Linked DNA regions of Drosophila melanogaster. The protein of the gene in region 3 interacts with the protein of the main gene of each other region in a biochemical or structural test. Each region holds a gene or a part of one and is shown on either strand. Other genes may lie near its edges.

Evidence for each region.
Region 1: the proteins of E2f1 (region 3) and slmb form a complex in vitro, tested with the Drosophila melanogaster proteins (one study listed by BioGRID).
Region 2: the proteins of E2f1 (region 3) and Rbf form a complex in vitro, tested with the Drosophila melanogaster proteins (one study listed by BioGRID).

What each region holds. Positions count from the first base shown.
Region 1 is NT_033777.3:21,124,398-21,129,353, forward strand, and holds the start of slmb (supernumerary limbs), read right to left. Parts: upstream 3,089-4,956; 5' UTR 2,598-3,088; coding exon 2,541-2,597; intron 988-2,540; coding exon 765-987; intron 1-764. Other genes in the region: CG5793 (uncharacterized protein), read left to right, coding at 3,581-3,657, 3,724-3,820, 3,950-4,096, 4,155-4,496; Obp93a (Odorant-binding protein 93a), read right to left, coding at 4,553-4,752, 4,807-4,956.
Region 2 is NC_004354.4:796,560-803,494, reverse strand, and holds Rbf (Retinoblastoma-family protein), read left to right. Parts: upstream 1-2,015; 5' UTR 2,016-2,709; coding exon 2,710-2,898; intron 2,899-2,977; coding exon 2,978-3,117; intron 3,118-3,178; coding exon 3,179-3,367; intron 3,368-3,429; coding exon 3,430-3,784; intron 3,785-3,847; coding exon 3,848-4,179; intron 4,180-4,481; coding exon 4,482-5,217; intron 5,218-5,352; coding exon 5,353-5,733; intron 5,734-5,802; coding exon 5,803-6,018; 3' UTR 6,019-6,405; downstream 6,406-6,935. Other genes in the region: CG13359 (uncharacterized protein), read left to right, coding at 69-1,550.
Region 3 is NT_033777.3:21,630,041-21,634,994, reverse strand, and holds the start of E2f1 (E2F transcription factor 1), read left to right. Parts: upstream 1-1,921; 5' UTR 1,922-2,071; exon of another isoform or gene 2,072-2,862; intron 2,863-4,954. UniProt on the Drosophila melanogaster protein: Transcriptional activator that binds to E2f sites. Required for wild-type growth in mitotic and polytene tissues, Contributes to the expression of replication genes at the G1-S transition and Cyclin E.

The DNA.
Region 1 (4,956 bases), 510 kb from region 3:
ACTGGCTTCACCTCCTCCTACTCCTCTGGGCTCCTCTCCACTCCAACAGTTGGAAACATGCCCGGCAACAATCCGGAGGAGCAAGGGTGTCTGTCGGGGGACGCGGAACGAATCGCACCGGGTTCAGAGCGCGGCTTGCCTTTCATGTTGTTCAACTTTGTACCTGCAGTTTGTTATTGTTTCGCCAATTGCGTGTGTCGAGGGCTTAAACTCAGCTTTGTGCTGCTAGACTCGCCTGAGATTCTAATGGTGGATGAGCCATTTCTGAGCCTTCATTTTAGGAGGAAAACGGTCAAACTCCGATGGTGGAATTCGCACCCTAACAGCTGTTATTGCCTTCTTATCGGCTGCGTGAATTGGTTTCTCTATTGGTCAACTGGGATTACTGACCTTCCCATACAAAGCATGCTGTTGATAACAACTGGGTTATAAATCACGTTCTTGGAATGACTTAGCATGACTAATTTATCCGTTCAATATTTATAATATTTAGGAATAGATCTAACAGCTTCAAAAATGCAGATTAATATATGATATACCACTTCATCATTTCCTCACTTGTAGAATAACCACTATTGAATCCACAGCTAAAACTGCATTTTTAACGTTCATATTTTCATAGTCGTTGGCTAACATGTTACAGTTTACAGTCTTGGCCTAATACTTTGTTGTGAACGTAATATATCAATCTGTATGAACGGAAGTTATTTCTCCACTTCGACTGGACTCAGGTGGCAATAGCCAGTGTATCGGCAGGCACTCACTTGGCAGCAATGTGATAAAGTCCCGCTGGAGCATCGGCTTGAGATAGGCATTGATCTGTCCGTGTTGATAGTGGCACATGCGCGACAGCAGGTGCTCCACAAAGTCCACCTGGCCCGACTCGCTCCACTGGGTGAAGTACTGAAAGCAGAGTTCCCGCTCCGTTTGGTAGGTGGGCGATGAGTCTTTCTTGCGCACCGGGTCGTACAGCATAGTGGTTGTGAACTGTATGGGTGAAAAGTGGCATAAAGAAGCAAATTAATTATGAGATTGCATTTGTTTCGTTTTTGTTGTTGTTGTTGTTGTTGTGGGGCGACGATGATGTGTTATGGGGTGCTTCGATGTCAAGGGGCGATCGTTAAAACTGGAAAAGTAGGTAGCTGCTGGTTGTGCAACTTTTCTTTAGTTTAGGCTACCGACGACCCAAACTGGGGGCTTAAAATTAGGCAATTAGCTTCGACTACGCTGAGCGTTTCTTTCTATTCGTAATTTTTCTCATTTTTTTTTTATTCGGCGGCGAAAGAGTTTGCAAAGCGGATTTCTGAAGAATGAAAAACGCGACTGGCAGCGCAGCGGTAGAAACAGATCATTCACACGGCCAGTTTATAAATAATAATTGTATCGATGTTTATTTGGTCTTCCATGCTCATTATGCGCATTCTATATATAGACATACCCATTGATGGGCCCCAATTAAATCAAACGTCATCAATTAAACGCTAAAGATCTCGGCAAACAATTTTATCGGCGTGAAGTAAACAAATTGGTCGATTCGAGTGTGAGTGATTTGAGTAATTAAGTTAACTGCAATGCCAGCAATGCGAAAACCTTGCCAGTATTTGTAGTAAATGTTGTGAATATGTATGTACAAACATACTAAGTTGTATTCGGGTCGGTTGCCTTAATTTAATTGCCGTATTATGGTTTTTGTAAGCTTTAGTTGTTTGCCTTTGCCTGGTAACTTTGAGCTGAAGGATGCTACTTAAACTATGCACTGATTATGCTATGAGAAAGGTTTGTGGCAATAAGCAATATGAATGTATATATCCTCTAATTGATAGTTAATAATATCTCGTTTGTGTTTCGCTGCTATTACCAAGAAGCCATCTGTCTCATTAACCAGATTCCACCTTGAATCCGGCGAAATTAAAGCCCAGATGACTCAAGCGAAACCGAGCGAAAAAATTGAAAATAAAAAACGATTTTTTTGGCCCATTACTCGATGGTTTTACGCGAACTGACCTTCAGTAAGCCGCCTATCGTATATAGCTCCACAATTAAATAAGTACTGATTGAAATGTACACGGCCGTACTTTGTGCACAGCGTTTGTTATTAATTGTGTACACAAACTCGAGGCCAATTAACGAAATCTTAAGACTCGAAAACCGGAGATTGGGGATATATACATATATATGCAACGATAATTGAACAAAGGGGATGATGATGATGATGCTGGCGATGAATAAGTAGGCTAATGTCTAATATCCACAAGAGTTTAAGGTTATAGCCCATGGGATGGCTATGTGCCACAGTGTCCGAATTTAATAGAGTGCACGAGTGCAAAATCTGTAGTATATACGAAAATAAAGCACTAGCACACGCACACCAGTGTGTGACAACACGCATAGGTGGCGTAGGTGTGCGTGCCCCTGTGTGTGTGTATGTGTGTGGGTCTATTGAGGCGACACCTTGGGCAATATGTACTTAAATCGGTGTGTTTAATGCATTTAGAAGGGCAGAGATCCCGCTTAAAGCAGGTAACTTAGCGAAAACTCACGGCCTGTGCATTGGAGTTGGTTTCGTCCATTATTTTGTCAGTCTCCATTTTCATCATTGTGTTGTTTGTGTGTTTGTAGAGTTTACTGGCTCGTCGTTTGCTTCTCTCTCACTCGCTCACTGCCAGAGTTTTCCGTCGCACTCGCACTCACGCACCACGTAGCGTTTTTCGCTGATTTTTCGTTAACACGTCTCGCAAATCGCTTTTCGCCAGCGATTTCATATAATTTTTAGGTCGAAGGAAAATTACAATTTGCTCGTCTCGGTTTCTGTAGGACCGCAGGCGGGATGCGCGAAAACGGCGAGGCGAACGCGATGGCAAAGGCAAACTCAACTTGCCGAGGTCCCTCACCAATTGAGCGAATGTCGTATGCAAGTCATTATTCTCACCGCTCCTGGCGGCTTGCACGTTGTTTGTTTTTGCTTATTCAGATGACGCCAACTACTGGACACTCACTTTTCACACGGAGAATTTTATTTTTTTTTACCAGATCTCGCCCAAATACGGACTGCGAAACCACAAAGCCAAAGATGAGTGTGCACTATCGTTATCGATATCTGTCACATATATGAACGGTCACACTGCCACGGGCCAGTGCTGCAAAATACGGCAAGAGCACACAATTTCGTCGTTTCTGCTCTAAATTTTCGAACAGGTTGTTGCAATTACAACTATTTATGAAATGTTTTTAAGTTATTTCCCTTTCAGAGCTATGAATTGTAAGCATTGTATGGCTACCCAACACACTTTGCCAGCTCTGACAACTCTGCACATCCATATCAGCTGATTTCTCGATCGCTCTCTCCGTTTTCTGTTGTTATTTAATTGATAAACTTGTTGCGGGGGGCCACTCTCCAGATAACCCCCCACTTTTAAATTAATAAATATTGCGCAAGTAAGTGCCGTCCAGCTCGCCGAATGCTCACTTTCATTCGACCGCAGAGCTGTTCCCATTCTAATCATTTCCTTGAGCATTCATAATCGAGCTACAATACACATTTTTTTTCAAATTCACAGTGCAACTAACTCAAATCCTCAGGATGGCGTGCCAAAACCAAAATGCCGCCAACTTCTTGAGCAATGGCAAGAAAATTGTGGGGGTGGCTCTCAATTACATGTAACTCAGTGTCATAGTAATCTTGGGTCTGCATGGGTAATCCACGAATACTTTCTTCCGTCGCAGGGACGTTGTGCTGGCCAGGAACGTTCCCGTGCCCAAGGAGCCGCTCGTCTTCCTCAAGCCCACATCTTCGTACCTCCAGGAGGGTCAGCCCATTGTGGTGAGTTCTACAGAGAATTAATTAAGATAACATTAAGATAGTAGCAAGATAGCAAAAGTCCATAAACTGGAGAGTAAACGAATGGAAATTGAAAATCCCTCTTGTGATTTAAACTTTGTATTCCCCCAGTTACCAAAAGTCTTTACCAAGGTGGCATATGAAGTGGAACTAGGCGTGGTGATTGGAAAGCCCTGCAAGAACGTATCCAAGGCAGATGCCATGAGCTATGTGGCAGGATACTGCCTGGCTTTGGATCTAACTGCCCAGTGCAATTTGGTAAGAAGATGGATGCACTCAATCAAGAGCCATTGTTGTAATCAATAATCAATTTCAGGGACCAGCTCGGGCGGCCGGTCATCCGTGGACCTTGGGCAAGGGATTTGATACTTCTACGCCCGTGTCCCAGTTTATACCCATCGAAAAAGTGACGGACCCGCACAACTTGCCGCTTTGGCTCACCGTCAATGGAGACCTTAAGCAAAACGGGTGCACTGCAGACTTAATATTCAAGGTGCCCGACATCATTTCCTACGTGTCCAAGTACATGACCCTGGAGGCCAACGATCTGATCCTTACCGGAACGCCCAATGGTGCCGATGCGTTCAAGGCAGGCGATGTAATTCAGTGTGGAATGGCCGATCTCGCTAAATTGACCTTCCAAGTGGAGGCTGAATAAAAGTGAAGAATTTAATTTTGATGCTATATTCGGATATAATTGGATATGTGCAATGGCTATTTCTTCTTATTACTGGCCACATCATCACAGGCAACCAAATATTTCCACATCGCTGTGCAATCGCTGGTGTTTTTCCATTTGCTGGTCGGGCAGTTGATGTAGACCTTTTCCATGACGCAGGCCAGCAAGGTGGCAGGATAGAAGTCGCAGTCGCCCTTCTTGGGCATCCATTGGAACTCCTGCACCCGCTTCCTAGCTATTTAGAATTAACCATTATTAAGTAGAAAAAAACTTTCGTATGCTAACTCACCGTAGTCCGTGCAACTATTGAGGCTCTTCAACATCAGTTGCGACATATTCGGATCGTTTTTGTAGCGTTGCTGATAGCTCTTCTGCAATGCCTGGGTATTAACAGTGCCATTGCTCAACAAGAATCCATTGGTCCTGAAGGAGCACTCCG
Region 2 (6,935 bases), on a different chromosome or scaffold from region 3:
CCCCTCACACAGTTTTATAAGTTGGCCTGAAGTTTTTGTACAAAAAAATATAAATTTTATATTTAGAAATGAAATGCTCTGCATCTTTTAATGCCCTCTGCGACGTGGGAACGCCGCGTCCGAACTTGCAGCGGTTAATTCCCTATGTCGAGCCGCAACAGGACGACGAGGAGGATATGGTAGTGTGGTGCCGGTCAAATCTGGATTTGGCCTGCTCGCTCAGCGAGATGCGCATACGCTGTCCAGAGCACTTCGATGTCGCAACCGTCGTGGGGGTAAATTCGCATACCGGAAAACTAATCACCCACTTTAATCACCGGAAACTGGGGGATGTGGACCTGGCGCCTCACGCGTTGCTTAGCCGGCGAGACAAGTTCATGGACATTTGCCAGAAACAAGTAATGACGAGTCAGGGCTGCTTGGCGTCAGAGGGAACACCAATCCCCGCCGACCTGGAGGTCACTTGGCAGAGTCATAGCATCATTGACTGCCTTGCTCTCCGCAAGGTGCGTGCAGAGATGAATTTAGCTGATCAGAAGGCGGCCAAGAATCTTGTGGATCGCGTTGAGGTGCACCACAAGACTTTGCAGACGGAGGAGGCGGAGCGAAGGAAATTGATTATTGACAAGGCAAATTCTGCGAGGAACTTGACTATTGACAAGGCAAACTCTGCGAGGATCTTGGCTATTGACAAGGCAACCTCCGCTAGGAAATTGACTATTGACAACTCAACCTCCGCGGGGACATTGACTATAGACAAGGCAACCAACGCGAGGAAATTGACTATTGACAAGGGAACCTCCGCGAGGAAATTGACTATTGACAAGGCAACCTCCGCGAGGAAATTGACTATTGACAAGGCAACCTCCGCGAGGAAAATGACTATTGACAAGGCAAAATCCACGAGGAACTTGACCATTGACAATGCAACCTCCGCGAGGAAATTGACTATTGAGAAGGCAACCTCCGCGAGGAAAATGACTATTGACAAGGCAAAATCCACGAGGAACTTGACCATTGACAATGCAACCTCCGCGAGGAAATTGACTATTGAGAAGGCAACCTCCGCGAGACGTTTCTCTAGACCAAAAAGATATGTCAGCGGGTATATTTCCAAAAGAAAATCGATCGGAAAAACGGAGTCTTTGTCGCGCGGTGCATACATCCCCGATCCTGAGCTCAACCGCGCGATAGCCAAGTACGGTGTGTCTGCTAGTCAACCGTTCAAAAGACAGCATTGCCTTGTGCTGGAGAAGCATCCCGACAGAACCCAGATCCCGAACTCCAGAACCAACACCAGTGGCTGTAAGTCCGACGGCTCTTCAACACCCATTTGGAGAAGTGCTAGAACTGGTGCGGATCAGAATACGCAGGCAGAGAGTTCTGACTCTTTCAATTCCTCCAATTCCTTCGAGAGCTCCAGTCTGGCCAGCGATTCTCAAGAAAACCACGAGCTGTCCACGGCGGCAGGTCTGACGGCGGCCTTTATGCGGCGACACATGCTATTCCACCTCCTGGCCAGGAGGTTCAGAAGACGGTATCTACGTTAGCCACGTCGTAGCTCGGGTCGTATGTGCTGCGACAGCAAGTTCTCTAAATTGTATAGTGTATATGTATGTATGTTAGTAGCTGAATCGCGAAGAATTCCCGCGAATTTCCATAAAGTTCAAAGCAGTATTTAAATTTGCGGCTATCGATTACAACTAGCTATATCGCCGATGTGCAATGCTCTTGAACGCTAACCAACACTGTCAGTTTACCGCACACATGCAAATAGCATTGTGCATTGCAAATAAATTATATGTGTACACATATTTTTGTCAATTATTTCGTTCTAATTCATTTTAGGGTCCCCCAATTTAGGTATGTATGCAACACGACATACTGCTTGCAGTCACTGCATAACTCGCCAAGCACTGTAGTAATACCACCCCACCACGTTTAAACTGGCCGAATGCGCGCGTCGGTGTGACCGCATGGCTTTGCTGGCGAAATACCGGCCGCCCAACTAAAAATCCATTAACTTGTATTAACGTGTCAGACTCTGACTATGCAATCGCAATTGCAAAATCTTTAAGTAGTGGCAATAAATTAGTTTTCCTTCTGCACAAGTCCATCCCTAGGGCCACATCGTCCGCGCAGCCCTAGAAGTGGATAGTTCGAACGCGGAGTGGATCACACGCACCTGCCCGCCGCAACTAGTCAAGTTTCCCGCGTTTTCCATGGCGATTAAGTTGTGAAATAGTTATTTTGTTAATGTGTTTTAACCAACAACCGTGGCCGTGGTGTGGTCCTGGCTAATCGCAGCATCCCAGCGCTGTTTGTTCTGTCCCCTCGCCTGCTCTTTTGTTGTGTTCCTCAGAAAAGGGTGTATCGCGAACACACACACACGCGACAAACACTCGCACACAAACACACACGCCCAAATCATTTCGGCGGGAAACTTCATTATTTCTGTAATTAAGTGTAAGCTCTCGCAGTTACATGTCCGCGAGGAGCGCGGCGGCAAGCGCAGCATACACCGGCAGCCACTAGGCGCCAGGCCACTAGACGTAAACAGCGGCGCCAGGCCCGCAACGCCCCGGTTAGCCGGCTAGCTCCAATTCAGGCGCCTCCGTCTCCGATTTCCGACTCCAGGCTGTCGCCAGAAGCAGCGGCCGCCGCTGCAAGCATACGCAATCAGCCGGGACAGAGACATCATTCGCAGACATGAGCGAGCCTGACCCGCAGGAACTGGGAGCTGAGGTGGTCAGCGGATTGGTGGCGACCAGCGACGACCGCCTGGAGATGATCAACGCCGAGTACACGAACCTATGCCGGGATCTAAACATGGATCGGCAGACAGAGCTGCAGGGCTACGAGACGTACTTAGAGGTGTCCCAGAGGTGCTCCATGGAGGTGAGCTTCGAAGTGGCAGCAGTAGCCTCCAACCTAACGTCCTTTCTTTCATTCTTTCTGTGCATTGCCTGCCTAAAAGGGCACAGCCAGCCACTGGATGTGCTGCGCCATTTACACGGCCTGCCGAAGAACCAGCACACCCACGGTGACTGGCCAGAATGCAGTGGTCAAGGGTAATTGTGTGTCCTTAAACAATTTGCTGCGCTGCTGCAAGATGAGGTGGGTTGCCGTTTATGCCTGCAGTTTCACACCTAACCATTTCCACAATCCCCACCCACAGCATCTACGAGTTCAAGACCAAAATTAAGCAGTGGTGCGACATGGCCAACCTGCCTCAGGAGTTTGTCAACGAGATTGAGGATCTGGACCGCAAGTTCAGCATTACATTCATGCTGCACAAGCGTTTCCGCATTATTATGGACATGATCTTCTCGTGCCCGCCCAACGAGAAGAAGCACTCCAAGTACATGTGCGTATATCATCATGTCAGCCTGACCCCGTGTATATAAAAAGCTTCCCTCTTTGGAACAGTTCTCTGCATGGCAACCACGCCCACGGAAAGTGCTCGTACATCAAGCTGGACGACATCTGCTGGCGCCTGTTTCTCTGCGCCAAGAACCAGAAGCCGAGCAACACCGTGGACCTGGTGACATCCTACAATCTGATGATTTGCTGCATAGACCTGATATACAACAATGTGCTGGCCGAGAAGCGCACCGATCTCATCAACCCCAAATTCGAGGGCCTGCCGAGCAACTGGACGGAGCTGGACTTTCGTCACAATCCGCACTGCATTTTGTCCAACTTCTGTGACATGACCGAGGAGGCTAAAGCCATGAAGGCCACCACTTTCCGCCAGATCATGTCGAGCTTCTTTCAGGCTTCGGTAGGAGTGCCGTTTCGGATTTCCATTAAAACAATTAATTTGTTCTATTTTCATTTCGACCAGACCATCTACGGCAACAAGGACACTATGTTAGGCCTATTGGCTAACGAAAACTTCGAGCGCAACCTAAAGTCCCTCAACATCAGCTACGAGCAGTACGTCCTCAGCGTCGGCGAATTCGACGAACGCATTCTGAGTGCCTACGATGCGGGGGAACACACTGCCCTCAACGACCAGTCCCTGCGTCCGCCGGTTACTCCGCTTACCCGCAAGCAAGATCTGCCTGCGCAGCCCGCGATGGCTGGCGATAAATTTGAGCCCGTCCGCAACGCCACTAACAACGTGAAGCAGCTGAGCGCCTTCGGACGGATCACAGAACCCACGGACTTTGTCAAGTGAGTTGCCGGCTGGCCTTGTATTTGGGTTGGGTGTCGAGTGTTCCTAACTATCATTCAAAACCTGTGAGAGAGAAAAGGCTTATCTCTATGTCCAAATGGCTGAAAGTCGTTGGCGTCGTGTAAACAAAACTCATGTTTATTTGATTGCTTTATAAATCGTAGGAAATATCGAATATCGAATTTCGTTAGCCGAAGCACACATCCATAGAAATTTCTGTTGATGTAAGAAGAATCGATTAGATTAAATCCGGGATTGATTTCTATAGCTCATGTTTTGATATCGCCCTGTCTTTATCCAGGCAAGCTGGCGAAGAGGTAATAGCCAAGCTGCTTAGCATCATCGAGGAGATCGAGCAGAAATTCCTCGCCAAGTACCCGTCAACGGAGGCGAAGAGTCGCTTCCAACTAGCGAAGTCCTTCTTCTTCTACCTGCTCGACCAGATCCTGCAGGCGGAAATTCGGAACAAGCCCGACATCGATCTCAAGCGACTGCTGGTGCAGAAGGTCTCCCTGGTCATCTTTAACATCACGCTGATGGCCTGCTGCGTGGAGCTGGTGCTGGAGGCCTACAAAACGGAGCTCAAGTTCCCGTGGGTGCTCGACTGTTTCAGTATTAGCGCGTTCGAGTTCCAAAAGATCATCGAGATCGTGGTGCGGCACGGCTCGCACGAAGGCTGTTTGAACCGGTCGCTGATAAAGCACCTTAACTCCATCGAGGAGACGTGTCTGGAGCGGCTGGCCTGGGCGAGGAACTCGACCGTCTGGGAAATGATCGCCTCCGCCCAACTGCCGTTGCCCACGTGGCTCATGGTTAACCTCGACCGCGCCGCCGGCCCCTTGCAGATATTCCTGCGCAAGGTGTACCTGCTTGGCTGGTTGCGCATCCAGAAGCTGTGCTCGGAGCTGTCACTGTGCGAGAAGACGCCCGAGAGCATCTGGCACATCTTTGAGCACTCGATCACCCACGAGACGGAATTGATGAAGGACCGCCACCTCGATCAAAATATTATGTGTGCAATATATATCTACATAAGAGTGAGTAGCACATCCACATTCTATCTCTGTCCGATTCGCTGGCATACATTTTGAAATGCACATAATCAGATGCATTCGTCCGTGTGCAGCTGAAGACCCACTTATAACATCCATGCAACTCCTTACAACCCGCAGGTAAAGCGAATGGAGGACCCCAAGTTCAGTGACATTATGCGGGCATATCGCAACCAGCCGCAGGCGGTGAACAGCGTCTACCGCGAGGTGTTCATCGACATCAACGAGGACGGGGAGCCAAAGGTGAAGGACATCATTCACTTTTACAACCACACTTACGTGCCGCTGATGCGGCAGTTCGTCATCGACTACCTAAACGTAACTCCGGACGTGAGTGGCCGGGCTTCGGATCTACAGCTCTCCCCGCATCCGAAGGAACGGGCCGCCCAGCCCAAGAAGGTAACCCAGAGCCACTCGCTGTTCGTGTCGCAGATGTCCAAGAACGAGATACAGCAGTCGCCCAACCAGATGGTCTACAGTTTTTGCCGCAGCCCCGCCAAGGTAAATATTTCGGAGTTGCGTCCACCTCCTCAGCTATAACATCGATTAATCCGCTTGCTATACCCGCAGGACCTTCAGGCTATGAACGAAAAGGTACGCGGCGGCAAGCGCATGCTGAGCTTTGGCGACGAGCCCGGACTAGGTACAATGGCAGAGACGAAGCGCTCGAAAATCAGCCAGGTCAAGGCCGTCATGGACGACCCTGAACTGCAGTCAGCCGAGCAGCAGACTGCTGTTACCACGGAAGGTTGCGTAGGGGGCGAAGGAGGAGAACACGAGACATAGACACGGGGCTTATGGGGGCAGACTAGACTTAAGGCAAGAACTAAAAATTCGGCGCAGAAGGCCACACACTGGCCCCTCCGGCGCACGTTCGACTATTTTATGATTGTTTTTTTTTAAATATTAAAACTTAAATTGACATTTTAACTTAATTTCAACAAACTATTTTAGCACATCTTTTAATTTTGCTCAACGCCAGCCAACCATATAATTCATATGCTAACCCAATACTTTGAAATAGTTGTACTAAATACTTGATCACCACACACACACACATCCATCGGTCGCGACTCCCCGCGATTTAAAAATCACTAACAAAAAAACAAATCAAATTAATGCAATCCACATTATATATAAAAGCTTATATACAAATATACTTTTTACAAATTGATGTTAATTGTATTTATTTAAACATTTTCGTAGTCGATCTACGTCGTCGTACAAAGGATGGGATGTTTAAAATCGTAATTTCTCTGGTCGAAATTGCCACCTTTACAAGTTTCAGGCACCAGGCGAACAGAAACAGTAACAGGTGCTAGCTGGCCGCTCAAATTAACTAAAACAGCTGATCCTTTTCAAGATGGCTGCGCCTTACGCTTTTCCAGTCAGCCCATTCGACCAATAGGAAGCCAAAGATGGGGAGAAACCGTTAGTTACTTTATGATGTCTGCCCTATGTGGCAATTTTTGTTTGCCTGGTGTTCAGCCACTGAGAATTCACAAATTTTTGACAAAATTTACGACGGGGCAACATTTTTCGCAGACAACTGTCGGGTCCCAGACACTAGGCCAACAGAATCCCTAGCAAGCTGCAGCTGGCAGCCCTTTCGATCTTTCCAGTTACCAATTGACCAATAGGAAAGCAGCACAACCGTTAATTCGGAACAGAGCGCACACCAGTGATGAGCAGCCGAGTTGTTC
Region 3 (4,954 bases):
AAGTTCCCGCTTGCGCTCTTCTATCTGGTAGGCGAAAAAAAAAAACCATCTTGCAGAAAATGGTTGAAAAAAAATCAAGCATAGAGATACTCTAATTGCATATGTGTTGGGCAAGGGATGGGAAGGGGGAAGGGGCAGGCGCAGGGGCCAAAGTTCTTCCTCTCTTTCTGCGTCCGTGAGGGGTGATTCTCGCCCCTCTTCTTCATATTCGTATTCTCATTCTTCTTCTTCTTCTTCTTGTCTGCCGGTCTGGCTTATGGGAAATGTGAAAAAAATCACACTCACGGATCTGTGAGTGTCCTCGCCTCAGCAACCCACCCAAGAGAAACCCAAAGGATAACAGCCTCGAATCCAAAAAAAAAAACTGCCTAAAAAGTTAATAGAAATCGAAAACTGGAAAGGAGATTACATTTCTGGTAGGAGGGGGGGGGGATGTTTCTCAGTTACTGGGCTTGGGATTATGGGAATGGGAAACACTGCGCAGATCGCCTGGCAAGTTGTACTGATTTGCGAGATACATTTGTGCACACAAAACCAGGAATGCAAATGGCAGCGGGCATGAGTTGTAAATATTTAATCAGATTGTTGTTAGAAAAAGTGACATGGTAGCGATTTTGGGATATTTATGAGTACAAACTTTGCATTATTCCAGAATGTATGAGTATTGTTTGTTTAGTAGAAAGTGCTTTTGCACTAAAGTAGATTAATAGTGGAATAACAAATAATATAAGAATGGAAAGTCAAATGTTTGAGCAGGTTTCTTTAATCAGGTCAGTTGCTCAGCAAATAGGTGAATTTTTACACTTCAGTTAGTATTTACTTAATTAAATACTAACTTTTCTCTATAAAGTTGCAAATCTTTAAGGTATATTATATGATTAAGCTGTGAGCTGTGAGATGAGCATACTTGGCTTTAATCTCAGGCATAATTTTTATGATACGTAGAAATTAATAGATTTGTGTGCGACAGTGTCGAGTTATGCGATAGACCCATTTAATGCCTATTTCCGGCCTTAAAAAGTGTACCCCTTGTTGATGGGGCGCTGAAAATCGGCAACGCTGCTGTGCTGCTGCAACTACAACAATGTCGTCACTGCAACGCAATGCAACACTTGGCACACAACTGATAAAGATAAAGAAGATGGTGAAGCGGTTGGTTGAGCGGGAGGGGAAAGGTTCTCTGCCGGCGTCGCTGTTGATGTGGGTGCGGTAACAGCGACGTCGCCACTTCCGTCTGAGCGATTTTTAGCCGATTTGTAGCCGGCAAGCCGAAGAGAGCGAAAAGGGTTGGGGGCCAAAAGCAAAAGCCGCTCTCACCGAACATTCGAGTCTGGCTTCCACATGCCACATGTGAAGAGTAGGAAGCGGCGCCACTCACATTCCACCCTCTTGCGCTTTCGCTTTCCGCCCCCTTCTCCACATTCGTTCTCTCTCGTGCTCAGCTGTTGCCGCTAATTCGCTGCAATTAGCGTGGTTCTCTTAGCTTCAAGCATTAGTTTTTATATCAACAGAATTTTAAAATTAAAAACTTCAAATAAAACTTGGACCAAAGATTTAATTAAAAGCTGATATTAGGTAAAATAATGTAGCATTTAAAAAACAATTCAGGAAGTGATTAACAGCGCTGTTATAGGTATTTAACTTCGCTTATAAATAATTATATTTTTCTTTTAACACTCAAATGTATTTATTCATTGCAAAATATTAATAACCCAAAATATTCGTTCCCTTTTGAATTGACAACCTATCGTAATATCGAATAGCTATCGTTTGATCAGTTTTGTCTCCACTCAATTTACGATCCACTCTCTTCTGCTCTCACTCTCTCGTGCCGCGAGCGCTCAGCTGCTGACGCCTCAAATTCGCCGCTACAAGAGACGCCGTGCGTTTTGTGGCTCGTTGCTTGTTCTGTCGATTCGCCGCGTTCAGTGTTGTTGTCGCGTCGTGACGCTGCTGTTGCCGCTGCCGCCCCCACACACATGTGCGAGCAGAAAACACGTTACGAGGGGAAAATCGACGGAAAAATCCGAAAAAAAATAGAAAAGCTAACTGAAAAGAGTACAAGACTGAGGTATTGATAAGTTAATGTGGTTTAATACACTAATTAAGCGTAAGTGGCCGGTATTAAAAGTGCCATTACGGTGGTGCTTACGTTTTCTCCGTCTGACGTAAGACGACTCCCTCTCTCGCTCTCTCTCTCTATCTCGTGTCTCTCCGATTCTCTTTCTCCGCGTGTGGATTGCGTTTTGCCGGCGACGGCGACTCCAAAAAAGACACGGCACAACACACTTTGTGGCCCAAGTTCAGTTCGCTTTTCGTCGCCAGTCCGCAAAAATGTGAAAATGGAAAACTGAGAGAAAAACCAAAAAGCCGCAAAAGACTGCCTCTGCAAGTAAAAGATTCAAGTCGCTGAGTAGCAATAGCAAATGCTCTAAAAAATCAAGAATAAAATAAAATAAAAGTGCGGGCGTGTAACAATTATGTGATATCTACAACAAATGCTCGAACTGCTGACGTCACGCACAGAATCGTAGAATATATAGAGAATAAAGAAGAGAAACGAAAACGTCGCGTAGTAAAGTTAAAAGTTCCCACACCACCGACGTACTCACACTCGCACACACACAGACTGAGTCAAACGAGTAAGAAGCAGCAGCACATTATACGTGGAATACAAAAAGTAACCGACAGAAAAGGCAAAACGCCCGCAAAAAAATGAAAAATTTGCAAATATGAAACGTGTGTGATATTCAAAAAGAGCAAGAAGAAGCAGGCGGCGGTGGAAAAAAAAGCAGAGCAATTTGTTGTGGTTGCGTGTGATATATAGAAAGCAAGTAAAACCAACAAAAATTCCATTTTTAGGTGCGTATTCAAACAAGACAAAAAAAAAGAAGCAAAGGGAGTTTCCACCTCACCTTTGATGATCAATTAATCATTCAATTTTGGGCTAAGCCCTCTAATAACCTCCAAAACCGATACGGTGAATAGCAGTCATTCGCTCACTCATTCAATCCCCCAACGCTCCAGTTTTCAGAGATAACGAATCGAAAATTCGGAGTCCATCAGTTTTTATTTCTATTTGCCCAAAGTCGGCGGCGATTTCTTTATGGCGCCCCCCAGATTAACATTTTACTAGATGTTAAGACAACAGTGCAGGTAACAGTTTGAAGAACTCGTGGTTTTTCTTCGAAGATATGGACAAAAATACATTTCAAGTTAAAATTAATTGTGTAAAACCGTCCAGCACAATATTAGCCAACTAACTGGCGTTTTTGTGTTGACGTGGATACTGAGGAATGCAAAATTAAAGCTGCACTGCAGTCATAAATATCAACTGAAATGTTCAATAGACATGTAATAATTAGGTAATGTGTTTGTTTTACAAATTAAAGTGATCTAAATGTTTTAAAATCTCAGATCATTTGTCTCTTTAATATTTTCTGTGGTCTTGAATTTGCCGGTTACTTCTACCAGTTTCGTCGGGTTAATTGGACTTGCATCAACAGTTTTCCGCTTTAATCTGTGCATGTACTTGACGACTGCACCACATAGTGTGTACATTATGTGTGGCCCCTGTTATCAGGCCTTGTGAGTACACAATATTCGATTGGCTCTAAATGCGTCATCGCGTAAATGGCCAGGCGAAATGAAGTTTTGTACATTATGTACAAAATTTTGGTGTATGAAACGCAAAGGGGACTTCCCTGGAATTCATTCTGCTTTCCTTGCCGGCATTGATATTCCACACCCACGCAATAATTTTTCCTTTCCCGGGCTTTCATTATGTTTGCAGTTTTCTGTGGGCGAAATATTTTGCGACGCATTTTGTGCGCCTCTCCCTGGACAAAAAGCCGCCTTCTCTTTTACTCGTTCTCTTTTTCTTGACTTGGCCAGTTGGCAATTATTTTTGGCTTTCTCAAACGAAAAAAGCTAAGGCGAGGCTTACAGCCGTTTTATTTTATATTACTATTACCTTATTTCATTTCTGTAAGTGTGCAATTAAGTGGCTGCCTTCTGTCTCGGTCCTTGCGGTTCATAAGAAAGAAGCCAAGTGTGTGTAATTGACCAAATGAAATAAAGATGATAGAGAAAATAAAACCGGCTAGAAAAAAGCATCCATGGGACCAACAACAACAAAAAGATGAAGAGAGATGTTCCATGTGGATTGTGTCTGTGAGTAACAGCTGTTATTCGGATTCAGGCCGGCTTTTACTCTCAGTCTCTTTTCCCTAGCAGCATCCCCCTCCAACACACACACACACCGTGGGAGACTCTCTCTTTCTCTCTCTGGACTGCCGCTTAATACACAAAATTCGTGTTCTTCCTCTTTTTCTGGCTTTTGATTCACTTTTTTCCCTCTATTGCAATTGTTGTTGCTTAACACCTTGCACACTCGCACATTATTTATTTGTATTTATTTCACTTGTCCCTGCCTTTTTACTGCGCATGCAAAATGATGTGCAAAAAGAAAGCGAAACTTTTTATTAGCTCTTGGTATCTGTGTGGGTGTTAGTGAGCATGCATGTACATACATATGTATGTTTTCGTGTGCTTGTGCTTATGCCTGTGTGTGCGTGAGTCTGCATACATAACAACGTATATAATTAATAGCCATGTAAATGCATGATCTTCATAATTAATAACGGTAAATTGGCATGCCAGAGGAATACAGTTATGGCTGCAAATTAAATACCAGCCATTAGTTGCATTCGAATTGGGATTTTAGCTAATATTTTATTAATTAGTGAATTGAGATTTCATGTCTGCAATTGGGCATATTTATTATTCGGGGGCAGACTAAATTTAAGTTATAAAGAGTAAAGATCCGTTAATTTAACAATCTTCACTACACCTTGCGGCCGGTTATTGTTGCTATACTAATTCGAAATTAACACGGAGAACGTGAGAGCAGAGTAGTGGCAGTGAAAAGGTGAAGGGAGGGGAGGCGGCAGCG